Linked DNA regions of Diceros bicornis minor. The protein of the gene in region 3 interacts with the protein of the main gene of each other region in a biochemical or structural test. Links are inferred from orthologs where the notes say so. Each region holds a gene or a part of one and is shown on either strand. Other genes may lie near its edges.

Region 1 (7,117 bases), on a different chromosome or scaffold from region 3:
TTTTCTTCATAGTGCCCTGCCAAAAGTGTGTTTATGTTATTTGTTTAGCTTGTGTTTCCTCCAAGAACTTAAGAGAACTTGTCTATCTTGTTCAAAGTTATCCTCAGTACTTTGTCCATCATAGCGGTATTTAGAAGCCACTCACGAGATGTGCTGAATGAGTGAATGGATATGGCTTCCTTGGGTCCATACCCTCCAAGGGCACTAATGGATTGCAGCAGGACAGATGTTGCCAAATGGATTCTTGCCCACCCTGGACCCCCTGGAGGTAGACATGAGCTCTGCAGGTTGTAAGTACCGCCTCCCCACCCCCCCCCCAACATACAAAGGAAGTATATGTATTCATACCCAGGGTCCTTTCTTCCTCACCTGAATGGCTCCTTTTTGCACACTGGCTGGCCACTCCTGATCTAACCCAACCCCAAGGGCTGTGTCTAACACAATTTAAAACCCTGCCTGACCTGCTGTATTCCACAGGCATTCCACAAATATTTAGTTCTAGGTGCAAAAAATACAGCATGAACAAAACAAAGGCCCTGGCCTGCATGGAACTGACGTTCTGGAGGGGGAATGGATGCGGAAGTATTCAAGGATATTTGTATCTGCAGACCACTGGCCTTCAGCTTTCCCTACCCTTCTTGTCCTCCAAGGCCCATGTCAGGGCCACCTCCTCAATGTGGCCTTCCTGGTAAGCCAGCCTTTACCAAGCTCCCTCAGTGCGGACTTGCACTTACTGCTCTGAGCAATTGTGAGTTGTTCTACACTTAGCACTACAGTTTTACTGTTATTCATCTCAAACTCCATGAGGCCATAAAATTCTGTCTTTCCTATCTTTCATGTTCCCTACAGCTGAGAAACCACAGCTGGGACTTGAACACTTTTTGACCAATTGAAGACAAGGAGCCACTTTTTCCAAAATCTGATATGGGGACCTGTGAAGCCACTGAATCATTGTGGTAGTTTCCAGAACATACATTTTACTCAGAAATCTATGGGGATAAAGTTAACACTTAACCAGTAGGTAATTTAACATATTGCCAACTAAGACAAATACACACAGATTATGGAACGGGAATGCACAATGCACAAGAATTTCTTTGTGTGAGCTTGCTGGTAGGCAGCTTTGGACATACTTTCTACTGGCTGTGTAACCTTGGGTAAGTTAACGAACCGCCTTGGGCCTCAGTTTCAGGACCTATGAGAGTTGTATAATATAATGGTGGTTCTCAACCCTAGGATTGAAAACATGAATGTGCATGAGTGCTTAACACAGTGCCTGGCACATAAGTGCTCAAAACATATTAGCTGCCCTTGTTAAGTTCCAAGAACCTTCCTCTTCCATTTGTTAATACATCTCTGTATTTAGGAGCACTTAGTGGAAAAGTCTGTGGTTAGACTTGGGGCTTCAATTAAGGGTCTTACCACACTGCCCAGATGACCAAAAAGGGTAAGCAATGACAGGCCAAGGGGTGAAATGTTACAGAAGCAAAATGGGAAAATGGAACCCTTTTCAATTAGCTGCTGCCATTTATCTCTTCCTCAAGAAGAGAATCTTCCACTACCTTCCTTTCTTCATCTGTACAATGAGGTGTAGCCATCATATCTGGCTGCAACGCTGTAGTGAGATCCTGGACATAAAAGCACTTTGTAAACTCAAGAGCACAATGCACCTGAGTTACTGCTTAACAGCATGGGTTCTGGACAATCTAAGATGAGTGACCTTAGACAAGTTAACATCTTCTAGCCTCAGTCTCCTGTAAAATAGGAGCAATAAGAATATCCATCTCATGGGATTGTAGTGAGGAATAAGTGAAACAACAGAAAGTATCTCGGCCTAGAATATCAGAAGAGCCCGACTATTTACAGTTATTATTATGATTACTAACCTATTCATTGGACTCCTCACCCCCAGGGGTCAAGTGAAAGCCTGATGTAGCCACACCAACACTAGCCCAGGAACTGGGCTCTGCAACCAGCTGGGTGACCTTGGGCAAGTCGCTGACCCTCTCCAAACTTTGGGTTCCCATGGTGACAAAATGAGAGCATTGGAAGAGAGGATCCCTGAGCTCCTTCTAGCTCTTCCACTCCGCTGTTAAGGTCGCCAGAACAAAGGCCACCCGCTCCCCAGCCTGTCCTCGAGGGGCCACAACTCGAAATTCCTGCTGCTCGACTCCCTTTGTAGCGCGACAGCAGGAGCGCCCGGGTCTCCATCCCGGAGACATGCGTCCACACTCCGCTGCCACCGCTCGCTTCAGCAGTAACTTGCTTCTACAGCCCCTCGCTGCCCAAAGTTTCCCCGAGCACCGGGAGACGCAGCCATAGGTCAACCGCAGGAAGACCAGGGGTGGGAGCGCGGAGCCTGAGGCCATGGTCCCGGGAATCCCAAAGCTGCCCCGCGCCCGGGCGAGGAGTGACAGGTGCGACGCGGGACGGCGGGGCAGCGGGACCTCGGGCGGCGCGAGGGGGGCGGCGGCCCGGCGCTCTCCTCAGGCCGCTCCCGCTGGGCCCCCGCGACGCCTCCGACTCCGCGCTCCGGCCCCACGACTCTTGCTCCGCTTCCAGACACGCGGCGCCCGGAGCGGATCCCACGGCCTGCGGAGCGGAGCTGCCGGGCGGGGGCCCAAACCCGCAGCGCGGGGACAGGTTGGGGACCGCCCGGGCGACCGCATGTGCTGGTTCTTCCCGCGCGAGCCGGGGCCGCCGGGGGGGGGGGGGGCGCACGCGCACCCGCGCGCGCCGCCGTAACCCCTTCCTCCCCGCGCGCCCCCGCACTCCCACCCACCCACCCACTCCTCACCGTCGATGTCCCCCAGGGTCAGCTCGTCGCCCAGCTCCGTGAGCGTCTCCATGGTCTCCAGACCGCCCAGCTCGCCGCTCTCGTCCATCGCCCGGCTCGGCGCGGAGGCCCCCCTGCCGTCCCGCTCAGGGAGACGCGGGGGCGGTGCCGCCGCCACAGCCCATGACACCCGACAGCCCCTGCCCGGTACCGCCTCACCGGCTGGTGCCAGCCGCCGCCATGTTTGCGCCGCGCGGGAGGGGGCGGGGCGGGATTCCCCCGCCCCCACCCGCGCCCTCTGCGGCCCCGCCCCCAGGCCGCGCGCCCCCTTGTTTGTTGTCAATGGGACCAGGGTCGCCGTGGCCAATCGGCGCGCGAAGCGGCGCGTGGGGTGATGGCGCGTCATCGATCAGCAGCTCAGATTTGCATAGCGAGGCCCCGCCCCTCGCGGCCTAGTAGCGACAGCAAGGAGAACCCTCTAGGTCCTCAGCCCAACCTCCTTCTCCTAACTTAAAGGAGCCGCTCCGTTTTCCGTTGGGTCTGCTCCACAAGCTACCCCCTCCACCGGCCAGGGGTTGAAGGGTTAATACGCTTCACCCCCGCCCCCTGGTCGCCCCCGGAGCAAGTTGTAAGCACATTACATCATGTTCCCAGCGGCCCCCCCCCACCCCCGCCTGCCCGCCAGGGAGAGCGGGTAGGATCAAACCTGGCCACCCCAGTGCTTGAGAGGAGTCGCGTTCCTCCCAAGCCCCTTACAAAGGCGGAAACAGAGGCTCCGCGCTGCCCGCGAACTGTCCAAGTGCGGAGCGCATATTACAACCTCTGCGCCTTTGCACCTGCCGCGACGACGCGCATGCTCCAACGGTTCTCGCCCTGGTGCCTCGGAACCGCCTGCAGACTTTCAAAATAATGCCGCTACCCAGGCCACCACAGGCCTCCTGAGGTGGGGCCCGGGCACGAGCATTTTGATAAAGTTCTGCAGGGACTCTGATGCGCAGCCCACCCGCGGATTCCCATTCCTTCAAGCACCTCACTGCCCCATCTTGCAGCTGTAGATGTAAACGAATATGCAAACTTCTAGGAATGTATCCTAAGGAATAAAATGTACGAGTGCTTAAAGAAGTGCACAAGTATGTGTGTTCAAAGATGGCCATCACAAATCCTCTGTAACTGGGAGAAATTGGGAAGCCCAATAAGGGACTGGATGAATCCACACAATGGAATACCATGGCATCGTTAAACATTACCTACATAAATGTATGTCTATTGACAAAGACTTTCACAATATATTGTTAAAAAGGAAAAGTGTGTTTCCTGCCAGTCTGTGAGAGGCAGCTGTTGCTTTGCGGTTAAGAGTGCACAGGTGTGTGGAGGCAGACATATGGATCCACTCATGCAGTGTGACTTGGGGCTGGTTACATAATTGCTCTAAGCCTCAGTTTTGTCACCTCTAAAACGGGGAAATAGTGCCCCCTCATAGTTGAGAAGATTAAATGAGATTGCACATTCTTCTGACAATATTTATTGGACATCTCTGTGGCAAAAAGACAGTTCCTGCCCTCTGAGGGCTTCCAGTCTAGTGAAGAAAACAGACATTAAACAAAAACAAAAATAAATAATAGATAATGGTACAAATGATCAAGGGAAAGTAAGGCTGTGGTGAAACTAACCAGGAACCTGACTTGGGATGTCAGGAAAGGTCTCTGACATTTAACATAAAACCTAAAATTATGAGGAGAGAACTGCGTCTGGTATAGCGAGGGGAACAGACAACATGGACAAAGGCCCTGAGGCAGAAGGAGCTGTTGCCAGCCAGCACTTGGCATAAGGCCTGGCATAACGTAAGTGCCCATATAAGGTAGCTACCGTTATCCAAAAAATAGGGATCTACGTGCTCTATGATGGGCAAAAGAAGCCCCAACAGCTGAGTGTCAGTCACGGTTATGGGAGTGGTGGGATTTAGGATGAATTTTACTTTCTTCTTGGCATTTCAGTATTGTCTAAATTACTTTTTATTTTTTATTTTTTTGGTAAGGAAGACCAGCCCTGAGCTAACATCCAATGCCAATCCTCCTCTTTTTTGCTGAGAAAGACTGGCCCTGGGCTAACATCCGTGCCCATCTTCCTCTACTTTATATGGGACGCCGGCACAGCATGGCTTAACAAGCGGTGCCTTGGTGCATTCCCGGGATCCGAACTGGCGATCCCCAGGCCGCCGCAGCGGAGCGCGTGCACTTAACCGCTTGCACCACCAGGCCGGCCCCTAAATTACTTTTTATAATGAACATGTGTAACATAAGGAAGTGTCTTATTTTTGGAGGAAAAAAAAGGCAAGAACATTCTCTTCATTGTGTACATGCAGGAGAGTTGGCGTAGACTATACCAGTCTCACCCTGAAACAGAAAACCAAACCCTGCTGCCTTGCTCTGGACTGAGCACTGAGCTGGACAGTGCCATCTTCAACTGCACCTCAGTGGCTCTCACAGGGCTCCCCACACTGCAGGGTGACTGTCTGCTGGCCTACCATACGACTCACTTTGGTCCAGTGCCCTCCCATCCCATACCAGAGCCTCAGTAACCCCCCGCTGAGGGCTGCCCGAGCACCAGGAGCAAGGTGGGCACAGAGCCTCCCACTCTGCAGCTGTTCCCACGGCTCCCGCCTGAACCTGCCCCAGAGGCTGTGGTGCCTAGCAATAGGGACCAAAGTGGCCTGAGGGGACACAAATGAAGGCTCAGCAGAAACTGTGCAAGAAAGATGGCTGCACTAGACCTAGCCTCAGCAGAACACTGACATTCTCCCTCTGGCCCTGGATACCACCTAACTGAACATCTCTTCCAGTTAGCACTTGCCCTGGCCAGGAGAACAGAGGCTGGTGCTCAGGGGTGGAGCAGCCTTAGACATGTCACTCCACAGGACCTGGGTTCTTCATCTGAAAAGGGTAGGATTGGACTAGATGACCATTATGTCCAGACATCCACCACAGAGTGGGCACTGACTACAGGTCACAGAAGAGAACTTGGCATGTTTTTTCATTTACTACCTTTCACGCCTCCCCTTTTAGGCCTCTGCTCACAGTGCCTGTCTCCTCCCTCCTCCCGCAATCTTTTAGGATTCAGTTCAGGTGTCACTTCCTCCAGGATTAAGCAAGAGCATGTACCCCACAGTTCAATCCAGAGGTGAGGCTTGGGGGTGGAAAATAACAAGTTATGATTTGGATAAGCTAAAACATAAGGACTGAGGGTTATCAGGTGGCAACAGGGCAGGTGCCATCAGCTTTGGGGTCTGAGGATGCAGTCGCCAAGAAAAGAGCAGAGAGGAGAGACTAAGCTAAAAAACTCTTCATTTAAGGGGCAGGTGAAGAAAGAGGAATCAGGAAAAGCTAGAACAGACTCAGACTGAGGGTAGAGAATGAGGACAACAGGTGGCCCAAAGCCTGGGAGGCTCATCTCAAGGGGGAGGAGCTGTAAACAGCACCTCTCTGAGGGCAGTGACCTGGGACTGCAGAGGAAGATGTGGGGCTGGGATAAGGAGGGAAAAGGGCTGTGGACGGGGGAGATTTTACCCCCAGGGGACATCTGGCAATGTCTGGAGACATTTTTGGTTGTCAACTGAGAGATTGCTACTGGGACCTAGTGGATAGAGGCCAAGAATGCTGCTAAATATCCTACAACACACAGGACAGCCCTCCTCACATACACAACAAAGAATTATCTGGCCCCAGCTGTAAATAGTGCCCATTGTTGAGAAACCCCGCCTTAGAGGATATTGGGGAACTCCCCGACTCTCCAGGGGTGCCTCAGATTGGGCCTGGTAGACAGAAACAACGTCCAAGACCACGGTGAAGACATCACTGTTGCCACCACTGGGCACCCCTGGCGCTGGTCTGGCCACTAGAATCCCCCCAGTGCTGCCACTGCCTCCAACCAGCACAACTCCCACACAAGCTGGTGCATCTGGTTGGTGGCGCTTCAGTCACAGAACCGAATCCTAGCTGCAAGAAGGCTGGACAAAGAAGTGCCCTCAGGCCTTTATAGGTCCTGGTGGGGCAGTGGGCAGGTTCTGCCTGTAGTAAGACTCACGGTGGAGTTCCGAGAACAAGTGACCACAACAATCAACAATGGCAGCAAAGGGAAGGAGAAGGGGAGAGCAGAGTGGCTCTGTTTGTTTCTTTGAAGGTGTCAGACGGGAAAACTTGGGCCCATTTGAGGGCGGAGAGGAAGGGATCAGCCAAGATGGCGAGGCTGAAGGTGTTGAAGGAAGAGCCCAGGAGGATGGAGGTGCCAGATGCGGCAGAGGTGAAGACAGGTAAGACTGGGGCCCTCTCTTTGTCTGTTCATACA
Region 2 (7,862 bases), on a different chromosome or scaffold from region 3:
AAGAACTTAAGTAACTTGTCCAAAATCACACAGGTAATAAGTGGCAGGACCAGGATTTGAACCCAGGCAGCTGACTACAGAGTCCATGCTTCTCCCTCTACACTTTATTGCTATGAGCAATGCTCAGGCATCTATCTACCTACTATGATATATACATACCCATGTATGTATACATCATTTATATACATAATTTAATTGTATGTAATTAACATATGTTAATTATGTTAACATAATTTAACATAATATTATACATAATATAACATAATTGCCATATACGATTTTTATTTGCTTATTTAGATGGCAGGGTATTTTTCTGCCGACTAGCGGGATTTCACATGGCACCATTGTTCCAAGTTGATTTCTTACTCTAACTGCCGGGCCCCAGGTGTTCGATACATCCAGCACAATGTGATTAAGATTTTTTTTCCAACTTGAAAAAAAAAGGAACATTTCTTTTCAAACCTGAAAAAAATTAATTTGTTTTTAACGAGCCCGGAAGGACCAGCTGCTGAGAAGCCCTGGGACTCTGGGCCCTCCTGCTCACTCTCGCTCTTTTCGTCTTTACACCTCTCAGCCCTTTCTTTGTCTGAGATGATGTTTCTGCTGCAAGCTTGACTGCTTCCTGCCCCCTGCCTGCCACTTGTGGTCTTTGTGCAGAAGTCGTTCTCAAGCCCTGGACAAAAGCCCTTGTCCCCTAGGCCCCAAGTCTCCTTGTCACACACTCCCTGTGTTTCCAGGTACCCTAAGATCCTGGGTCCTGGGTCTGTCCTGCCAGAACATGAAGATCCTGGGCTCACTTGGCACCTGACTCAGGCCCTAACAGCTGGGAGCGCAGAAGCCAGCGGGCTCACCCTGCGGGTGCCTCGACTTGGGGAAAGGGTGGGGACTCTTGAGATCAAGGGCTCCGTTTCTGCGCTCGCAGACCCTCAGGTGGCTTTCTTTCCTGCACTGAAAATCTGTCACATGCAACTGTTTCTTGCAAAGTCAAACTTTGCTTCCCATCTCAACCCACATGCGCACACCCACAGCCACACCCGAGAGAAAAGAATTAGGAAAATGCTTAATGTTGCGAGTACTTGAAGCCAGAAACAAAAAGAGCACTGCCAAGGCCCTCCCTGGCTTGGTGCATGGGCAGGTGATTCAGGCACTGTTTGGGGAGGAACTGAGGTCTGGTGGACAAACATGGAGTTCTAACCACAGGCCAGTTACTAGTCCACGGGAAACATCCTGTTACTATTATAAAGATGAAGTGCTCCTTTTTTTTTTTTTTTTAAAGAACTTTCTAGAAGTCTTCCTTTCCATTCTGATTCAGTTCAAGTCCGTGAGGCAGGAAGGTCTCAGGGCAGCCATGCCTGCAACATTAGCTAATCAGACTCCCAAGAAACATTCCATTCTGCTTAAGAGGGCTTTGGGGAATGGTTTGCTCATGGTGGCTTTTAAAATAAACTGAGGGTTGCCAGGCTGAATGGACTCCCTGCGGGCCTCATGACCTGGTTCCAGGCCGGTGCCCAGCAGGCTTGCCCTCCTGGTGGGATGGTGGACGTGTCATTAAACCCGGTTGCCTTGCCTGTTCCCTGTTCCTTGTACCCTCTGTCCTTCCCATTTTAAAATTGGGGAAACTGAGGCCCAGGAGAGTAATAATAAAAGTAATAATAACAGCCGCACAGCCAACACATAGAGCACTTAACTTATCCACAAACGTCAAAGAGAGGGATTCCATGGCATAGTGGCAAGAAACATACGGTTTCAGATCCTGGTTTTGCCACTCTGAAGCTGTGTGACCTTGTGTCAGTAACTAAACCTCTCTGAGACTCAGTTTCATTGTTTCTAAATATTGATAATGATACCTATTTTACAGGGTTGTTGTAAGGAGTAGAAATAATGAAATACCTAGAGTTGTGCCTGGTACCTAGCAGGTACCTGATCAATGGTCTTTATTATTATCAGGGACACAATGCAGGCCAGTCACAGGATAAACAGCATTTTCCCATCCTGCTTGACAGTAAGAATTACCCAGGGAACTGGTTAAAAATACAGATTCCCAGGACTTCTGCACTCTATGGAAAGGCATGGGAATCTATGTTCTAATGAGGCACCGGGTGATTCCTATCAGGTAATTTTGGAACTCATCCGGGAACCCTCCACTCCAACTTTTTGGGTTGGTTCTTTTGTTCTCTGTGCACCTGGCCCCATAGCTTTTGCTAGAAGGTGGACATGATTAAAAGGTCAAATATCATTATCCATTGTCAAAGAGAATGTGCCTTGAAATTTGCACAGTGGACTTATCCCCAAAAAGCTGTTTGTAAATAAAATGTGGGGTGTATGCGTGAGTGTGTGAGAGCGGGGACATATTTAATGCCTTGGTTTGCTAGTCAAAGGAATGCATTCAATTCAACTAAATAAATGTTGTGTGAGTGACTGTTATGTGCTGAGGATACAATGATAAACAAGCAGCAGGGCCCGTCTTCAAGGGGCTTACTAAGAGTCCAGTGAGGAAGATGGTCAAATAAACAGGTAAGTACAACATTGTGGTTAGATAAGTTTAGCACAGGGAGCTCAGAGCGCCTGGAAGGGGAAGCACACTCAACTCAGGGTTGGGGATCCGGGATGTCCTAGGGGAAGTGACATCTGAGGAGGAGACCTGTAAACTGGAATCTAGTCTCAAACCCTTTTGCAAAGTGAATGATCCTTCCCTAATTTATCCTTGCGTGAAAATGACCTTTCACATCCTGGTAACCCTCCATACATTTATACAACCACACAGCTGCACAAATACTGAGTTCCTGCCATGGGCAAGGCCCTGAGTGAGGTGTTGTAGGGCAACCTGGGGGAGGAAGCCCGGATCCCTGCCCTCAGGGAGTTTACACCACACCTGCTCTGGCTTAATTTCATTTCTCATGTAGTTCATTAACCCAGTGTGATCTGTTTATGACTGAACAGGTAGGCTATTATTCAAGTCTTTGCTCCCTTTACAGAAAAGACTGTTTATTCTCTTTCATCACCATGTGATGGGGAAATCTGGTTCCAACCAACACTCCAGTGCGGACACACATTTCATCCAGGAGAAAAAGTGCATGCTGAAGTTCCCAGAGTTATTTGCAGCCCCGAGCCATGAAGCTGTGGAGGCCTGGAGGGATCTGTGGGGTCTGTAGGGTCTGCGAGTATCCGGGGCAGCATGCAGACCTGGTAGCAACTGCAGGAAGTCAGGCCTTCCTTCCCTCTGGGCATCATGGACCCAAAAGCCTTTCAAATTACCTTTTTCTGCCCCAAGAAGCGGAGGAGGTGCGGAGGAACGGAATTCCCTGTGAATTATGATAATTGCAGCATGTTTAAACAAAAGGTGGCAAGGTGTGTAAGTCAACGAGGTCCCCTTACCTTCTGAGCTTGTCTGTGTGTGTGATCTGGTAGGATCCTCTTAGACCCTTTAAGTGAGGGTGTGTTTCCATCTCTCAGATGGGGAAACTGAGGTACAAGGGGTGCCTGGAGGTTTGCACCCTGGAGGTCTGCAACACCGGTGGTTTGCACTCTGCTGCACATAGAATCCAGCCCAAACTCATTATTCAAAGTCTCCTTCAAACATGAACCCCACAACCTCTCATTCCCTCTTCTCAGAAGGCCAAGCCCGAAGCACCTGCCTTCTGTTTTTTTGCCAAGTTGCTCCCACTTCCTGAGACGCTGCCCCCCCCCCCCCCCCCGCCCCCATCTGCCTGGTGAAATTCAACCCATCCTTCAAAGCCGAGCTCAGGTGTCACCTCTCCTCCTGGTTGGAATGCATCTCTCCCTCCCCACCACTCCTTGGGCCCGGCCCTGTGTCTCATTACTTCTCGTTGGGCAACTGGCTTAGCCTCCCGGATCCTCCGTCCCCTCCTCTGTGCGTGGGCATAGTAGTAACCTTGGCGGTAATCTTTAACCCCTTTCGGGTTCGTGGACTTCTTTGACAATATGATGAAAGCGGCCAGAAGAGCTAATGTTTATTGAGGCCCATTGTATGTTAGGCCCGGTGCGTACAGACTTTTCCACCCATCATCTCATATAATCATCAGTCACGTCTCTCTAGCCAGGTACTAGTGTTATAGTCATTGCATAGATGAGGAAAGGAGGCCCAGAGAGGTGACATGCCTCTCCAGAGGTCACACAGCTAGTACTACTAGCAGAGGCAGGTTTACAGTTTGCCGGAGCTGGAGTCCTAAGCTCTGGACCCGCTCCATTGCCGGCTCTCTGCCTCCTTGGCCCGGGGATGGAGGCGGGGAGAACACAACACACAGCATCTCGCCTACAATTTAGGAGTTCATGCATCCCCGAGCCCACCCACCGGCCTGGTCAATCAGGCCTTTGCTGGGTTGCTGCCTAGATGCAATCCTGGCTGTGCCCTCCTCGGCAGGAATATCGGTCAACATCTGGCGACCCAAACCCGGGCCAAGGAGCGAGGCCGCGGCTGGGCAGCTGCACCGAGGGGGACGCGCGGGCTCGCGGCGCAAGAACAGCGGAGCCGCGTCCTGGGTCCCAAGTCTCAGGAATGTGGGAGGGCTGGGCGGAGAGGGCGGGCGAGGCGCGGGCGCTTCCTCTGCCCGCCGGAGGGGAGCCTCCAGGGCGCGCGCGGGGCGCGCCGCCGCCCCCTCCCCGCCTCCCGGCCGGCTCGGCGAGGGCGGGGGCTGCGGCGGAGGGCGGCGAGGGGCCGCGGCGCTCTGCAGCCGCCTGGCCGGCCGGGCGGGAGGAAGCGATGAATATTCAGAGGGGGAGGGGGAAGGGAGGGGGCTGAGCGCTCGCCGCGGCTCCCTGCAGCCCGAGCCGCATGACGCGCGGAGGAGGCAGCGGGAGCCGCCGGGGCCGCCGGAGCCGGGATCAGGGCGCCGCGCGCGGGGGGTGGGCGCCGCTTGCTCCGCCCCGCGAAGCCCCTGCGCGCCCGGGGACGCGTCCCCCCCGCGGCCGCCGCGCCAGGCTCCGCCGTGTGGCAGCCGCCGCCGCCGCCGCTGCCATGTCCCCGGGGAAGCCCGGGGCGGGCGGAGCGGGGACTAGGCGGACGGGCTGGAGGAGGCGGAGGCGGAGGCGGCGGCTGGAGGCGGCGACGAGGGCGCCCGGGCTCGGGCACACGGCGGGGCCCGGCTCGCGCGTCCCGGGCACGTTCCAGGGCGCGCGGGGCATGAAGCCGGCGGCGCGGGAGGCGCGGCCCCCTCCGCGCTCGCCCGGGCTGCGCTGGGCGCTGCCGCCGCTGCTGCTGCTGTTGCGCCTGGGCCAGGTGAGCCGCCGGGGGCACCGGGCGGGGGGGGGGCGTGAGGGTGGGGGCGGGACTGGCATCCCCTGCACCTGCCCGGTGTGCCCCGCCTGCCGGGCTCGGGGGCGGTAGCGAGGGGCCCGAGTCCTCGGAGCCCCCGTCTTGGAGGGGGCTCGCGGGAACCCCGGCCGGCCTCGCACGCCCGCCACCGAGCCCCTTCCCCGGCTGCCCAGGACCGGAGGGAGGGCGGCGGGATCGGGGTCCCGGGGTGCCCATCGCGTCCCCGTGGAAGCCCCCGCGCGGCTCCAGGCCGTCTCTGGCCCGGCGCTTCCCGGGGCTGGTCCCGTCTGGCCGGCGTGGGCCCGCTCGCCCGCCCGAGGCGGCCGGAGGGGGCGTGTTTGCAGAGGGCTCGCGGCGCGGAGCGGAGCCGGCCTGGCCGACCTCCGACCCGGCCTGCAGGGGCCCGAGGGGCCGGGCCGAAGGGCAGGGCTGCGCGGTGGGCGAGGCACAGGGCCTCCGGGCCGAGGGCACTGCTCTGGGGCAAGTTCCCAGCCCCGGGAAAAGATGGCCCAGCAGGCGGGCCCGTCACCTTCCCAGAGAAGCTGCTGGCTTCCCCGGGTGTTTAATTCGTGCTTTGTGGGCGCCGGCGCTCCCCCCACCGCCCGGTTTTCTAGCTTCGCTTCTCGGATAATGCTGTGTTTGGCGTTTTGGTGACCGACCTTTCTGCAAGCGCCGGTTCCCCTTAATGATATTCCTCTTGGCGGTGAGGCCGGGCAGCTGGGCGATGTTTCCATTTCACAGATAGGGAAGTTGAGGGAAGAGAAGTGAAAGAGCAGAATCAATCACCCAGCCCTTGCCACCGGGGCTGAGCAAGCGGATTCGTCCTCGCAGCCTTCCAGGAGCCTGCTAGGGTCTTGAACCCGCGCTGTAAAGTGCCCTGGCGATACCTCTGTTGTGCATGTTGTCAATGAAAATCTTGCTTGTTTTGTACAGACAGCAGCTGTCAGGAGATGATGTGTGAAACCTGGGAAGTGAGTTGTTGGCTGGGGATGGAACCTGGTTTCAGGGAAAACTTTTCAAGCACAAATACAGGATTGTCTGAGAGCAGAAATGGCAGCCTTGGGGCAGCAATGCAGGCCAGCAGGCAGGACGAGAAGAGAGAGCTGGGTCCCCCGGGCTGAGGTAACTCTCAGCACCCAAGGTGGCTCTGGCCTCTAAGGTCCCCTCAGTTTTCCTCAGCAGGCTTTGAACAGGCTCTCCTGAGGGCCTGGAAGGCAGTGTGACCTCCTGCAGAGACTACTGGGTTGGGTGTCAGAAGACTAGCTCTAAGGCCTGGCTTCAGGGTTGGACTTGCTCTTGAGTCCCCTCCATCCTCAGTGAACAGCATTTGTAGAATGGGTGTACCACCACCTGCCCCGTAGAATTGTTTGAAGGGCTTCCACTGGCCGATGCCTGAAGGAGCTTTGTAAACATTGAAGGGTGTCCAGATGTGATTATCGTTAAGGTACAGTGTGCGTGGACTGACTTCTCCCCTTCTCTGTGAGGAAATTCATGGAGAGCAGTCTGTGAGATTAAAAAAAAAAATTGCCTCGTAATTGAAGATCTCTTGTACCAAAGTTTGTGCTGAAGAAATACGTGGTCTTCATTTATTTCTGGTTTAATTTGGTACATATATATTTTATTACATTATTTTATTTATGTTTTTGCACCAGCCATGGGAGTTGCTAGCTATGCTTTGAATCAGCGAAAAATTTCTTGGGTAAATTTATTTCTTGCCCAATCCTTCCTCGTATTTCAGTAGCATATTGCCACCCTATACTTGTCCCCTATTCAGATATTTCCTTCCTCTCTCACTTGTTCTGTAGAAACCCGAGGACTCTTTATTTCTTGTTTTTGGATACGTTATAAAATAGGAAATCTAAAAGGCTCTCTGAAAAAGCATTTTCAGAATCCACATTTGACAGTTTATTTTGGTATTGGATATTTCAGGGAATCAGTGCATTTTTGGCTGGAGCAGACTTCCAAGATAGCTCAAACCTCTCGTTTTTTCAGATGAGGGTATTGAGGCCCAGACAAGACAGTGGTGGGGCTGAGATCACCCCGCAAGGGACTGGACCGTGCGTTGCCTACTTGTGCCTAATATTTTCATGATGCTTTTTTTTTTGGTCATGTTTTCACTTTCCTCTTACTTTTAACTATAGACAGCGTCCTACTTCACTGCGTACTCCTGAAACTGTGGGTGTAAATTGTTTTTCAAAGTTGAATCGTATTTGAGATTTTTGAAGTTCGTGCATTTAACAAACGTGTGTGAAGGTATCTGACTACTTCCCTAACACTTGACTGCTTTTGTGAAGCTTGGAGTGTGTGTGGGTGTGTGTGTTTTTTTTTTTTTTTTGTGAGGAAGATCAGCCCTGAGCTAACATCTGCTAATCCTCCTCTTTTCTTTTTTGCTGAGGAAGACTGGCCCTGGGCGAACATCCATGCCCATCTTCCTCTACTTTATATGGGACGCTGCCACAGCATGGCTTGACAAGCAGTGCGTCGGTGCAACCCCGGGCCGCCGCAGCGGAGCGCGTGCACTTAACCACTTGCGCCACCGGGCTGGCTCCTGTATGGGTGTGTTTTAAAATGGAATCAACTGTAGCTGGTT
Region 3 (6,857 bases):
CCTCAGCTGGTGACCTTGAGCAAAGCGCTTCAGTTCTGTGGTCTCAGTTTCTCTCCTGGGAAAACGGGACTAATAAAGTGGGGGAGGCAGGAGAACTGCCCAGTTAAAAGCAGTAGTTCTGGAGTTGACCTGCGTGTCTGAAACCCTGACTCCACTGCTCATGGGTTTCGTGACCTCAACCTCTCTGCACCTCGATTTCCTCATCTGTAAAGCAGGGGGAAGAACTGTTCTTTAGAGTGGTTGTGAATATTAGATGAAATGACCCGTGTAAAGCAGCCTGCCCCTGCTTGCCATGTTGTAAGCGCTCAGCAAACAAGAACTAGTACTGCTGTTATATATGCCTGAGCCACATGGCTGTTGAGGTTAAATGAAATAATGTATGAACATCATCTGGCATGTAATAAATGTTTGCTTTAAAATAAATGCCTGCCTTATGGGAATGGTTTGTGCAAGACATATGAGGAGAAACTCCCAAGAGCACACTCCTACTCAAAGAGTGCTTGGACATACATCAGAAGATAGAGGAGTAAATGTCCTTTTATATTTTAGGATAAAACAAAGATTAAACATAAATAAGTAAATAAATGTCATTTGGTTGTGTCTGGAAGAATGAGTCAGGACTGTCTTTAGAATCAGCCTTAAAAGGGCCTTCTGAGAACTGGACCAACCCTGCTGTTTTACAGATGAGAGGCCCAGCAAGATGCAGTGACTTGCTTACGGTCACACAGCAAGCTGGGGGTGAGTGTGGAGATTTCCTGCCCACAGTTTGTGGTAGGGGCTGCAGACACTGTGCTACAAATCCCCAGTCTTGGGTGGAGGACTGGGACTGACTGGGGGGGGGGGTAGGGTGTGGTGGGGGAGAGGTGGCGGGTGTTACAAAGGTGCTAACAGCCAGGCAGGAAGCGGACAATACACTAGGAAAGCGATATGGGGGGAGGGCTATGAAGGCACGGTTGTCCCTCCCTGGGCAAGGTTCAAGTCCACAGGTAATTGGGGTGGGGTTCTGAGCAGGAAGTCTCAGAGAAAGAAGGACTGGTTCTCATCTGGGGGAGGGGAGCAGGCAGCAACAGAAGCACTTGATTTTAGGCTTTCTGAGCCTCAGTGTCCTCATCTTTGAAATGGAGCTGATTGACCCATCTCATAGGGCAGTTGGGAGGTAGAATAAGAGATGTTAAAGCACTTGGCATGCACTGCACCTGACTCATAGTAGGCCCTCAAAAAAGGCCAGCTTTCTTCCTTCCAGTCTGAGGACCCAGAGAAGAATCATCATCTGTTAAACAAGAACTGACTGTGGGCAGAGGCTGGCTCCCAGCACAGAATTGCAGATGTCAGAAGACAAAGCTCCCATAGATACCATCTTGCCCAGCCCCCCACTGAGGCAGAGCGTAGAGAACAGACTTGCCCAAGGCCACACTGCATGGCTGCAGCAGGCCAGGATTCATCTGAGGCCTCCTGGTCCTCTTACACTCTGTGGCCTCTTTTCTGCTGGAAAATTTCTTTTACTGGGTTTGTTTTGGAGGGTGGTAGGGAAGAAGGAAACAGAAAGAAAGCCAATGTTCTCCCAGCCCAGCTCTGAGGCTGTGCCTGGCCAGCCATCTGGCCAAGGTGAAGGATACACATCCCTCATGGCTTCCAGGGTGGGCGCCCGCAGAATGTCTCGGATGCCAATGACATTCTCATGGTGAAAGCGCAGCAAGATCTGGATCTCCCGCAGCGTGCGCTGGCAGTAGGTCTGATGCTCGAAGGGGCTGATTTTCTTGATGGCCACTCGAGTCTTGCGCACGTGGTCGTAAGCTGAGCTGAGAGGGCCAGAGAGATGTTGTTGGTGTGGCCTTACAAAGGAGGAGTACAGGCCCGGTGGCCCCACCCAGGCCTTGGCAGGGAGAGAAGGGAGCAAGAGAGGGTTCTGGCCAAGTCATAAACAATGCTGGTTCCTTCCTGCTGTGAAGGCCTGGGATCTCCAGGGAGAAAGCTGGGGACCAGCCAGCCAGCCCTTCAGTGACTTCACAAACAGAGGAAGAGACTGACCGACCACTGGCTTCCCCTCTCCTCAACCATTTCCATTCTAGTTGCCCTGACCCGTTATCCTCCCCTGCCCAGGATGGGCTCCCTCATCCCAAGACAGGTCCAGGGGGTGGGAGATGAGTGGAGGACATACAGTGAGGCAAATACAGTGAGAAGGAGGGAGTCACAGGAGGCACTGGAGAAAAGGGATAAGGCAGGCCTGGGTGTCAGGGCGAGGGACCTGGGCAGCAGAGCTGTTCCCAGATGAACAAATGCCCAGAGCACACAGCAGGGCTGGGACAACTCCCAGAGCCCTCCTCGAAGCTGCAGGGAGGCACTCCGGGACTGCTCATTGCTCACTGGGCCCCTGGCCCCAGGCCCAAAGCCCTGCCCCACCCTGAGCCCCGCTCTTCTCTCCCAAACTCCTTGGCAGGCCTCACTGGGGGAACCAAGGCATCTTCTCCCCAAAGAAGGGTCCTTCACTCCTTCTTCACTAAGGATATTACCTCCCCAAGAATACTTACTCTCTTCGCCTCACCCCGTGTCTATAGGGTGCCCAAGGTCCCCACAGCTCCCGCACATATACGTACTCAGATGGCCCTCCTTCATTCTAGAATAGTGGGTTCAAAGCCCCCAGGCCCTCTCTCCTTCGAATACACTGCGCCCCCTCCCCCCGAAAGCACTCAGAAGCCATCGCCCCGGGACGCTCTCCAGCCCCCTGGAGCCCCTGCCTCTTCGGGACGCTCGGAGTCTCCACGGCCCAGAGAGCACTCAGCACCCCTCCCTGCCCCCTCCCGCGGGGCCCCCTCCCCCGGAACGCCCCCTCACCTGACCATGCCGTACGCGCCCTCGCCGATGTACTGCAGCTGCGTGTAGCGCGGGCCCACGTCGAACGGCTGCCCCTTCACTACCTCCACTTCCCCCGGGACCCCCGGGCCGACCCCATCAGCTCCCCGGGGCTCCCCGCCCCCGCCCCCCTGAGCCGCCGCCGCCGCCGCCATCTCCACTCCTCCCCTCCCGCCCGCCCGCCGCCCCCCCGGCGGCCCCGCCCGAGGCCCCGCCCCTTCCCGCCCGCCCTGTCACCGCGGAGCCGCGCGCGCCGGGCCCCGCCCCGCCCGCCCCCGCGCGCCCCCGCGCCCGTCACGTGGGCCCTGCGCGCCCGGCTTTCCCGCCGCTGGTGCTGTGGTTCATGGTACCCGGCGGCTCCGGCTCTTCCATTTAAGCTAGAAGCTCCCAGGGCCGCCTTGAGATTGTCCAGACCCTCCCCTAGAATGCAGAACAGCCAGTAGGGCCGCTGGGTGACCTTACCCAGAGCCACCCAGCAAGCGAGTGCTAGGACCGGGGCGCCTGGCCCCGCCCAAGGAGCAGCCCCGGGCTCGAGATGGAACCTTAAGGGAACCCTCACCTCTGATGCTCAGTGATCCTATCCGTATTTCACAGTAGCTGTGGGAGAGGGCTTCCTCACAGGTGTGGCCTGTGATGAGGAAGATGAGGCCCGAGCCGGCGCTGGTGACTTGGGAGTCACTCAGACAGCTGAGAGCTGGAGAACCCAGCCTAATGGCTTTCGGACAGAGACCTGCGGGAGTGCGCTAGGGACCTGGCCTCTGCCAGCAACCGAGCCGTGCATGTACCCCGGGAGTACCCCGAAGACAGATAACCCCACCCTACCTTTACATGGAAAGCGGGGGAGAGGCGAGAGAGCTGCATGCCAAGTTGACTGGCTTTGGTTAAAATACAGTATCAGGCTTTTCTCAAAAAGAGCAAAATAGGTTGTGGTTTTGTTGTGGTTAGATTTGACAAAACTGGAATCCTGTCAAGATCATCATCTTTTGATTCTGTACTAGACTTTATAGTTTACACAATACTTTGATCTTCAGTTTCTTCCTTAGGACAGCCCGTCAATATAGGTGTCCTCTGGTTTTCCTAGCTGGATGAGCAGGGCCCATGTCTGTTTTGTTCATTACTGTATCTTCCAGTGCCTGGCACCCAGACACTCAAAAATTTTGAATGAATCAAGTTTTATGGATGGGGAGTCAGAGTTGGGGACTCGAACTTGGGTAAGATCACTGTAATAATGACAGAGATGAGACTCAAAATGATATCTCCTGACACAGAGGCAGAGGGCTCTTTTTAATTCCATTGTCTCAGAATTATAGACTTTTAAAACTGAAGAAAGGGCCCTCAGAGACCATCCAGTCCATCCCCCTTACCTCACAGTGAAGATGTGAGCTGGAAGCTTCACAAAAACACATTTCCTAGGCTTCAGTAAGCAATCATGTTGTTTTTTTCTCCCTGAGAAGCTGGGAGTAGGTCCTTATAGACATTACAGATCAAGAGACAAAATGGAACAGTAATTATGATTCTGAAATTGCTCATAATTAGATCTATGGCCAGGCACTCTAATTCAGATTAATGAGACTGAGTTGCTGGTTCCCAATAGCCCATAAGTCAGTGAAGGTTGAAGAGGTGCTAATTAGATCAGTGTTGTTTTTTTTAGTTATTCATTTGGTAAGCTCCTGAATGGCACTGAGTGCAAAGCTCTGAGCTAGGCACTGTGGTTAATGAAAGATTACTATATAGTGTGAAATAATGGTTAACAGCAAGAGCTCTCTGGGCCAGATTGCCTGGGTTAGACTCCCATTTTTGCCGCTTACTTGCTGTGTTACCCTGGTCAGGTTACCCACTGGCCTCTCTACTCATGGAATTTCTAATCTATTGAAGAGAAAAGATGCACATACATAAATCAATTTCATACAAGATAGATGGATGTATTATATGGCATGTGAGCTCAGGGGTGGGTTAGATCACTCTAAAGAGTGAGGAGGGAGTAATGGAGGAGATGGATTTGTGTGGTTGAAAAAGAAGTAGGGTTTCAGAAGGTCAGGATAGAGGAAAGGCATCGAGAAGAAGGAACAGAATGAGCAGCAAGGAGACAGATTGAGGAAGGCCTTGGATTCTGGCGAGGAGTTTGGATGTTACTCAGTAAGCAGTACAAACCTTTGAGGGACTTTTGCCAGATCATTTTGCAACTGTGGCAGAGTATAGTGACTCAGAGAAAACACCCTGGAGTTCAGCATGGAGCCAGGTTTCCTGAGTGGGAGTGAGTTTCCCGGCATAGGAAAGGCTGGTGTATCCGGCGGGGTGCCTGCTGCCTCAGGCTGTAGCTGTCTCATCAAAGGAGTGTGACTGAGATTCCCCTCTAGTGGCTGAGATTGGTAATTCCATGGAGATTGGACTCGGATTTCCTAGTCCGCTTCATAGATTCATAAGCAACTAATGTAGACTGAACATCTGTTCTGTGCCAGGCGCTTTTATGTACTTTATCTCCTATCATCCTCGCAGCAGCTGTATGAAGTAGATACCATGAACATTTAACAGAAAACAACAACAAAAAAAGCAGAAGCTTGCTGCACTGTGGGGTTGGAAGGAGGTCTAGGAATCATTTTCTCCATCAGTTCATTACCTCACAGCTCACTGCATTGTTAGAGTTTTTCTGATGATAGAGTTTTTCCCATTTCTATTTGGCTTAGCTCCAGCCTCTGGATCTATCTAGACTAAGTTTTAAGCCAGTTCTTACCTGTGACGTCAAGTTCACAAGAGAGGCCAGTGGGTAATAACACAAGCGAGTAACAATTTGAAGGGTACAAATGAACATTCCCATTTCGACTAACTCAACTAGCCAGCAGAAACTGAGAAGGCAGCAAATGTGCAGGAATAGGGGTCAGAACATGTTTAATAATTTATTAAGATTTAAGCTGACCTTTTTTTAAAATCCAAAATACCTCTCTTACACGTTTCTCGTAACACTTCTTCATATGTTGGAGAAGAGCTCTGCGCAAACATCTCTCCTCTGGTGTAAGCATTCTTCAGCTGATCCCTCCTCTGAAATCTCTGTGGTTAGCTCTGCCTGCCCCCACTGGGCTCCTTCCCTGGGCTGTCCTTCTCACGCCTCTTTCTCTACAGCATCTCCCTTAGTCACTTCATCACATTCCTGTGGTGTCACCTTTTTCCTTTATGTAAAATCTCCATCCTTAGCCATTGCCTTTCTCCCTAGTTCCGGTTCCAAGGTTTCAGTGTTTGCTGGACAGCTTCACTTGGAGGCTAGCTGCTACATCAAATCAGCATGCCCGATGAAAGTCTTCCTTTTCATTCCCAAACCTGTTTCTCTTCCAGACTCGACTTGCTTCAGGACTGCCACCATTCTTGCAGGGTTGAACCCTGTTATTTTCTCATTTTTCCATTTCTCTCCAGATCTAGGCAACTTCTTGTCATCTTATTAACATATTTCCCAAACCCATCCCCTCTCCTATTCATCAAACCCAAATTTCATGTTTTTATTTTTTTTTTTACTTTTTAAATAATTTCAGAACTTACCAAAACGTTGCAGAAATAGTTCAAAGAATTTCTGTATGCCTTTCATCAACACCCCCTAAATGTTAACATTTTAAAGAAACACAGTACATTATTAAAATCAAGACAGTAACGTTAATAGAGTTAATCTATAGACCTTTTTCAAATTTTGCCTATTTTCCCATTAATCTCCATTTTCTGGTTCAGGATCCAATTCAAGGTCAATTGTTGCATTTAGTTGTTATGACTCCTTCATTTCCTTTGATCTAGTCTTTTTGTTGTTGTTTTTCATGACCTTGATACTTTTGAAGATTACCGGCCAGGTCAGTTATTTTATAGAAGGTTCCTCAGTTTGGGTTTGTCTGACGTTGCCTTGAGATTCCTCATCTCACTTTGCTATTGTATTATGCTATTACTATTGTACTGACTAGTCACCTTTCCTTCAGTCTTTTTCCTCCTCAGAGATGCCTAAAACAGCTCTGATGAGGTTTGTATTAAGCAGG
Region 4 (7,678 bases), on a different chromosome or scaffold from region 3:
GTGAATGATAGGAATAGTGATTTCAGTAAATAAGAACTTTGTGCTGAAACCAACAAGTTGAAATTAATAGGAATAAATAGAAGGTCTTGCATTTAATTTCAAAAATTCAATAGCATAAGTACAGAATGGAAGAGAGCTGTAATTTTCACATTCAAAAAAATCCTGTGGACTTTTTCATTAACCTAAACCTTCACTCAGTATCCTAAAACGCTTGCTGAGCAACAGGCACTAGCTAGGCCCTGTGGGGTCTTACCACCCGACGCGCCGGCAAACGCAGCCTCGTTGGCCTGTAACATGTAGCTCAAGGGAGAAAATTCCCGCTGACGAGATCCCCTCGGGAGTAGACACAACACTCCAAGAAGGTCCTAGCTGATGAAATGACCTAGGGAAGAGGGAGACGAGACGGAGGAGTGACAGGGAAACCAGGCTGTACAGAAATGCTGAGTGGACACAGGATGTTTAGTCTGGAGAAGAGAAGATCTTGGGACTTTGATGCTTGTTTTCCAGTGTTTAGAGAGCTATTGTGTAACTACAAGAGGAGGCTTAAGACTTTTTTGGGTTATTTCAGTTTGACCAATGGGGTGACAGCTGGAGAGGAGCAGATTTATTTTGATGTCTTCAAAGGTGTTCCTGCCAACTCTGGGAAAGGCGGGCTCTAAGGGTACCTCGCCCACGAGCATTCCAGCAGAGGCTAGCTGACCATCTGCTATGTGGCTGCTCCCTTCTAGAAAGACTACATTCTGTCAGAGACAGGAATAGATGATCTCTGAGGATCCCTCTGACGCCAAGTCTTTATTTTTATTTTCCAAATTAAGTGGGAAGTGATATAACTTTTCACATACCTTTCTTGAGCCTTCAGACCAGCAAGAATTTTGCTAGCTACAACCAATGAGTTTGTTTCCCCATCTTCCCCACCTTTATTGGCTGAAATAACCTTAACTTAGTTAACAGAAAGTCACAGTGAATACACTCCACACATTAAAATTCACTACTCACCCATCTGGGGTAAAATTAAAATTCACTGCTCGCCCATTTGAGTTATTAAAACCTAGACTGTATCTCCCTTCATTCACCAGTTGGACCTATAAATACCAGTTCTCATCAGAACAGACAAGAAGGGAAAATCTTGCCTCAGAGTGAGAGAAAGGGCGAGAGGAAGTCCACAGACCAGAGCCCGTGGGATGGAGCACATATAAGCCTCCACACACTGTCTGCAGCTCAAGGGGGAGGACGGACGATCCCCTGAGCTGTGTGAATGCCAGAGGAAGGGAGGCACCTCTGAGCTCCTTGGAGCTGCCCTAATATTTACCGTGGGTGTATCTCCCCAGCTTCACGGTCAAGGCCAGCATCTTCCGGACACCTGCTATGTTTTTAGGTGTGCCCAGATTTCATCCTCCAGCTAAGAGTTACGACATCCTCAGCTGGCCATTTCTGTTGTCAGCTTATGACCAAGGAACACGTTGGCCAGCAAGTTGCATTCAGAACAATAAATTGTACAGTTCTAGGGGAAAAAAAAAAACAATGAAATATTTCTGCCAATAAGTTGCTATCACCAAAAACTGCATATTTACATCTTTATTTCTTGCAAAATACATCATTTTGGCATCATGTCGACTGCTTGGTTTAGTTTGAAGGATGAAGTCTTACTGCTTTAATATCTTGTAAGCTTATATTTATAGAGATTGACAAGTAAACGCAGATACAAATTCAGTTTTAGTTATTACCACTAACCAGAAATTATGTTACAAAGAGGCAATATATCTTGTTTTTAAGTCGAAGTGCTTATATGGTCTAAAAATTATTTTGAGTGGTAACAACAGCCGCTAGGAAGAACTGGCTAAAACAGTTTCAAAATTGGTTGTATGACCTCAGAGTTGTGGAGACTATATTTATAGGACTTCCAACTGTTACTAACAGTGATGCTGTTACTCAGTGAGCAGGAAAAATAAGTAACGTTCATACTAGCGTCTAGTAGGTTTGCCAAGTAGAAGAACCATCATTATAAAGAGCAAGGTGTAATACAGGTATTTTATCTATAAAAGTATAATGAAAAGCATCATCATTTCTCATGCAGGCAGCTGCCTTCTACCAATCTGGTAACAAAGGCGTGCTGGGTAACTAGTGACCACAATGACGACCACAAGAGGAAACCAGAGCCGATTCCCTTTTTCCAGCTCATTTAGGGCCCACCTGCTACTGTGTTTGGACACCGAGCACACCCCACCCAAGGCTGGGCTGCTTCCACAACGAGCTCAAAGAGACCAGTCCAGGTGGTGGCCTTTTACTTGTGGAAAGAGTGACGTTTCACAGCTGAGTTTTGGTGGTAAACCTGCTTCAATCAATTTTAATCCAGGTGCACAAACCATTTTAACATAGATGCATGACAAGGCAACTGAGAAGTACCATGAACACTCCAGATGCGTGAATTCATTTAACCTCACCACGATCCTGTGAAGTAGGTTCTGGCATTACCCCACCTGAACAGAGGAGGAAATGGAGGAACTTTCCCATGGTCACACAGCTAACAAACGGCAGGGGAGGGTTTGAACTCGGGCAGCCTGGCTGGGCTCAAAGTCCAGACACTTCACCATCGGGCGCAGTACAGCCTCCCTGGGAAGGCGTGCAGGTGAACTTGACCAAACGCTGTTGTGTGCCAGCACTGTGTTAAGCCCGTACGTACATCAGCACATCCAGTCCCCCAGCTGGGTCATCCGGACACAGGCAAGAGTCACCAGGCCCACTGCTGTGTGTTGTGGGCACGACAACCTGGCCTGGACGTGGTCTCTGTGTCCCTTAGCTTGCGGGGTGTAGCAGTAACTTCTCGTGTCATCTCTTCCCTGCAGGGGCGGCATGGTCCAGACCAGTGAGCAGTATGAGTTTGTGCACCATGCTCTCTGTCTGTACGAGAGCCGGCTTTCGGCAGAAACTGTCCAGTGATTCTCTGAAGATTCGCCCGACCGTCCATCTCTGGGGGTGAGGAATCAATTACCCACCTGAGGCTTCTAGAAGGAGTTTCCTGAGGTGGAAGGAAGGAGAAGCCCCGACGCCACACTGCAGCACGGACTGTGGAAAACGGCAACATATTAGCGATTGCCAGCCCTCGCGTATGTGAGTGCATTCGTGAGCCTCCCCACGCTATGATGGACGTCCCGAGCTGGTGGAGGTGTGACAATGTCTCACACAGCTGTGCAGGATTCTGTTTTGTGTCCTGACACCTGCCACACAGAGTGTGTGTATGAAATGCTCGGTGACACGTGTTGTCCGGTGACAACGGGAAGAGCTGCTGGAAAGAGGATGCTTGTCTGTGTAGACGCTTCCGTGTTTGCAAACCTGCCTATGAACAGACGTCAGCCAGTCACGCCCCTGTCCCCAGTGCTGTCACCTTCCTCAGTTACCAGAGTCTTGCCACTGAAGGTGCAAGCAATTGATGACAGATTTTTAACAAATAAGTCCTTGTTTTTGAAAAAAAGATCAAAAGTTGTAACTATTTTATATGGAAATGTGTCTTGATAATATGCCCTGTTGCAAGTGTATTGATCAGTATCTCCTGTCAATCAACCAAGAGCACAACGATTGTCATTGGGTGTCTATGTCCTTACTCTCTATCCTTGGGCCTCCAGGTGGCCTCTGCTCCGGGACTCTACCCAAGGTATTTCTCATTGTGAGTCATTTCACCTTCAAAGGGAAAAACAAATTTGTAGCAACTACGACGTATCAAGAATTTTAAACACCTGTTTCTTTTCCTAAGGAGAAACTTTTGAATATGCTGTCTACCTGGAGTCTCTCCCAATCAGAGGGAGCCTTTGGGAATGATGTAACCTGTCCCATTTCCAGAGGTTCTTCAAAAGGATGCTGCCATGCACATCCTTAAATTTCTGAAAGGTTTTAATCCTCAAGAGACAAATAAAATTTAAAAAACTACCCTCAGCAACACTAGATGTTCTGCTCAAATATGAATTTTAATGCAGCTGTGTTGACTTTGTTTCATACTGCCAATAAACTACTCTTAATACTAAATATTGAGTAAAGCGTCTACTTTTTTTCCTATTTGGATAGAGGCTGTTATCTTTTGGGAGAAGCCTGAAGTAGATAATGTGGTGGGTTTAATTTTAGTCTCTGCCTCTCCCCAGTGGAGATGACTATCTGAAAACGTAATGTTATTGCTGAGAGATAAGGACCCAGAAGTGCCGTCATTGTGCGGTCTTCCTCGACAGACTCCCAGCACATCTTTACACCAACAGCTCGTGTCTGTGTCTTTATATCCCTTGTCAGAGACCCTCAGAAAGTACACGGTCTGTGTTTATTCAGCAGAATCATATCACCTGAAGAGGTGTCATGTTGTAGGAACACTCAGTTATCTAAGATCACAATTCCTTTCTTCCCTCTTGAGGTTAACAAGTAGCCATAAGCCAGAGGCATGGTAGGAGAAAACTTATGAGCTTTATTCTGCTCCTGGAGGCTAGAATTTTTCTACATAAAACAAGAGAGGTAGTCAGGATCCCTTCTTTCTAAGGAAGCAGACAGAAGGACAGTGGTGTAAACCTCCCCCACAATTCAATAGGAGGAAGCGCTCGTCACCGACTCCCCACCACGAAGGATTTCCTTCCTCTACTTTGCTTCTCTTATCTGGGAAAATCTTTTTCCCCCCAAGCGAAGCATGAGCAGTTGTTAAGTGGAAAATGGAGGCTGAATTTTACATGGCGATTCTTACCTGCTTGCTCTTCAGGAACTCAGGTGAGTGGGCCCGCCTTGGTGTCCTGTCTTCCTCCAGGCGCCCGCGGAGGAGCCTCTGTCCTTTGAGAAGAGTCTGGAAGAAGGCGGAAATGGAGCCAAGTCTCCATGGCAGTTTAGCCCAAGACAATGAGGAGGGGGATAAAAGGAGCCAGCTCTGCCCACACCTCAGGCCCCAGCGCCCCGGGCAGCTCCTAAAATGGCATCTGGACAGCCGAGAGGGGGGACCTGAGGAGACGGTTTTTGTTATTATCCAACAGTCTGTGACACGCTCCAGGCTTTTCCCCAGCCGGGTTATAGTTTTGTTTTCTTTTGTGTTAAAGAAAGAAAGTATAAGAAACATAATTAAAGGGGCGAAGAACTGGGGTGTGTTTTGTTATTTGGAAGGAAAGTCTGAACATTTTCATGGGAGAGCTGGGAAAATTAAGTAAAACTCAGAAAATAGTTTCTGAGCCTGAATATCCCACTTTTTAATACTGATGTTTAACAATTGGATGTTTAATTTTCTTACCCTGAGAAAAGCTGATTTTTTAATCTATTAGTATTTGAGAGAAACTGTAGACATTGTCACAAAATAAAGAAATGCTTCTCTCCAGGACTAAAAGAAATTTAGTTTGTGATAATCAATACTTTGATTGGCTACGAAGTAGTGCTTAGAGGGGTGGGAAAATGTGTTTTATTTTTGGATAAGTATATCCAATTTTTAAATTTGTGTTCAAACCATTCCATTTGTATACAAATACTTATTGCAAGGCTAACTTAAGAGTTGGGAAAAGGGTGTTTTTTCTAGTAGGGGCAGAGGTGAGATGGGAAAAGTAAAGTCAAAACTGGGCTTTTCATGGCTTCAGCCTATTTAACTAACTGGGCTAAAACATCACACCATATTTTTGGGTGATTTCATTTCTTTTCCAATCTCCCTTTCCTTATTTCGGTGGGGTGTGTTTTCTTCCCAAAACCACGTGAAAGTAAAAGAAAGGGAGCTAAGTGTGACGTTTGGACATTTTTACATTTTTACATGGGATTTTCAATCACGTGTTGAGTCTGGAATATTCACTTGAAATGACAACAATGGCAGAAAATGAGTAAACCCGGCATTTTGTGTGGCTGATTTGTGGGTGGGTTGTTTTGTTTTCTGGGGGCCTGGCAATTTGCGACATGGTACTTTATGAGCTTTTCATCTTCCAGAGGGGTTTCAGATTGTCCACGTCCAGAAACAGCAGTGCCTTTTTGAAAATAAGATAGTTGCCGTGGGCTTCTGCAATGGGACCAGCCAGAACCAGCAGTGGACATGGACGGAGGATGGAAAGCTCCTTAATGTTAGATCTGCGCTGTGCCTGGGCGTCTCCAACTCCACGAAGGGCCCTTCCCAACCGGCCATCTTTGCCCACTGCTCCCAGGCACCCCGATGGACCTGCTACGAGCAGGAAGGGTTCCTCCAGGTGGAAAATGCCTCTCTGTTTCTCAAGAAAGAAGGCTTCAAGGTAGTGGTCAAGAAAGGCAGGAAATACCTCCATAGCTGGATGAAAATAGACGTCGACAAAGAGGGAAAACCAGTCAATGAAAGCCTCTGCTTAAAAAAAGGTGAGCTATTCCTTTCAGAATCAATTCTGAAAGTTCTGCCTAATGTCTTGGTTTTTCACATTCAGGGGAAATCCACATGCCCCAACAAATTGCTATGGAGGATCCACAAGCTAATGGAAATGGGGTGTGTGCTACCTGTTGATGTGGAAAACTCCATTACCCTTGTTAAAATAAGCCCAACTTTTCTCTTTCTGTCTCTCACTCTTCCTTCCCTTCTCTTCTTTCTTCTTTTATTAATTCAACAAATATTTCTTGAGTTTCTCTTTTGTGCCAGACACGAGGCACTTTGGTTAAGTACTATTAGATGTAGGAATACAGGCCAGGGCACAAACACAGCATACATGTGGAAGGACTAAAGCCACTGAACAGGAAGTTAATAATTTTGCTGATGTAGACACTTTCCTTCTCTGATTGTGAGGAGCTATGAGAACACCAAGACGGTGCTTGAGAAGACTAGAAAGATAATAAACAGTGCTTTTGCAAATCTCTTGTACTAATGTTTAGGGGTAGAGATCTTTTGGAGGTAACATACTTTTGAAATGGTAAGAACCAATGTGCAGCCACAGAGTTTTCGGATTCATTGACCATGATGGACACAACCCAGATGGTAGACAGGTGTCGACCTTGTATACAGGCACACAAACTCCTGGTGCACCACACAGTTCAGACCTGTGCTAGGAATTTTTATTTGTGGATACAGCTTAATTTTCTATTTTATTTAATCATTTTATTATTTATTTACTTCTCTATTAGAGGTTTGCTTTAGGAAGTCAAGAAAGATAAAACTAACAGAATATTATATATTAGATACCAACGGACCTTACATGTCACTGGAGAAATTATCTAGAAATGAAGCCCTTCATTAGGGAGACTGAAATCTGCCAAGATTAGGTGACTTGTCCCAGATAATTTAGTGGCACGGGTCTGACTAGAACCCAACTTCTTAGCTCCTTGTCCAGGGTCCACTCCCTTATACAGTGTTTCCCAAATGCTTGACCACAGACGTCTGCCCAGCTGGGCACGTAAGAATTGCCTGGTGTGGGAAGGGAATCGTTCCCATCATTTCTCCCCCATTACCACCTCTGAGACTTTGTTTCAAGAAATCTGGATTTGGGCATAATACTTGATGTTTTTTAAAAAGATCCCCAGATAATATTGATCCATGATCCCATTTGTGGATCAGCATCCACAGTACCTTTATATTTTTCTAATCAGGTGTTGATTTTTGAGGCCTATATGAGTCTTTCCACCATGCTGATCTTCGGACAGTTTTCTGTCATTCATTCGTTTCATAAATTAACCAAGGATTTAATTTGATGCACTTGAATGCTGCGGGTTCTTCTACAATAGAAGTTGAGCGTTATAG

What was found.
Region 1: of the proteins of MAPK3 (region 3) and SREBF2, one has a biochemical effect on the other in vitro, tested with the Homo sapiens proteins (2 studies listed by BioGRID). The link is inferred for Diceros bicornis minor from reciprocal best matches to the Homo sapiens genes MAPK3 and SREBF2.
Region 2: of the proteins of MAPK3 (region 3) and PTPRJ, one has a biochemical effect on the other in vitro, tested with the Homo sapiens proteins (2 studies listed by IntAct, with this or other methods). The link is inferred for Diceros bicornis minor from reciprocal best matches to the Homo sapiens genes MAPK3 and PTPRJ.
Region 4: of the proteins of MAPK3 (region 3) and PTPRB, one has a biochemical effect on the other in vitro, tested with the Homo sapiens proteins (2 studies listed by IntAct). The link is inferred for Diceros bicornis minor from reciprocal best matches to the Homo sapiens genes MAPK3 and PTPRB.

Annotation. Positions count from the first base shown.
Region 1 is NC_080764.1:8,684,423-8,691,539, forward strand, and holds the start of SREBF2 (sterol regulatory element-binding protein 2), read right to left. Parts: upstream 3,009-7,117; 5' UTR 2,886-3,008; coding exon 2,798-2,885; intron 1-2,797.
Region 2 is NC_080770.1:22,581,639-22,589,500, reverse strand, and holds the start of PTPRJ (receptor-type tyrosine-protein phosphatase eta), read left to right. Parts: upstream 1-4,857; 5' UTR 4,858-4,975; coding exon 4,976-5,236; intron 5,237-7,862. UniProt on the Homo sapiens protein: Tyrosine phosphatase which dephosphorylates or contributes to the dephosphorylation of CTNND1, FLT3, PDGFRB, MET, KDR, LYN, SRC, MAPK1, MAPK3, EGFR, TJP1, OCLN, PIK3R1 and PIK3R2. Plays a role in cell adhesion, migration, proliferation and differentiation.
Region 3 is NC_080765.1:21,907,658-21,914,514, forward strand, and holds the start of MAPK3 (mitogen-activated protein kinase 3), read right to left. Parts: upstream 3,006-6,857; coding exon 2,833-3,005; intron 1,800-2,832; coding exon 1,617-1,799; intron 1-1,616.
Region 4 is NC_080756.1:953,854-961,531, forward strand, and holds the start of PTPRB (receptor-type tyrosine-protein phosphatase beta), read left to right. Parts: upstream 1-4,664; 5' UTR 4,665-4,679; coding exon 4,680-4,734; intron 4,735-5,916; coding exon 5,917-6,312; intron 6,313-7,678. Other genes in the region: PTPRR (receptor-type tyrosine-protein phosphatase R), read left to right, coding at 2,844-2,937. UniProt on the Homo sapiens protein: Plays an important role in blood vessel remodeling and angiogenesis. Not necessary for the initial formation of blood vessels, but is essential for their maintenance and remodeling. Can induce dephosphorylation of TEK/TIE2, CDH5/VE-cadherin and KDR/VEGFR-2.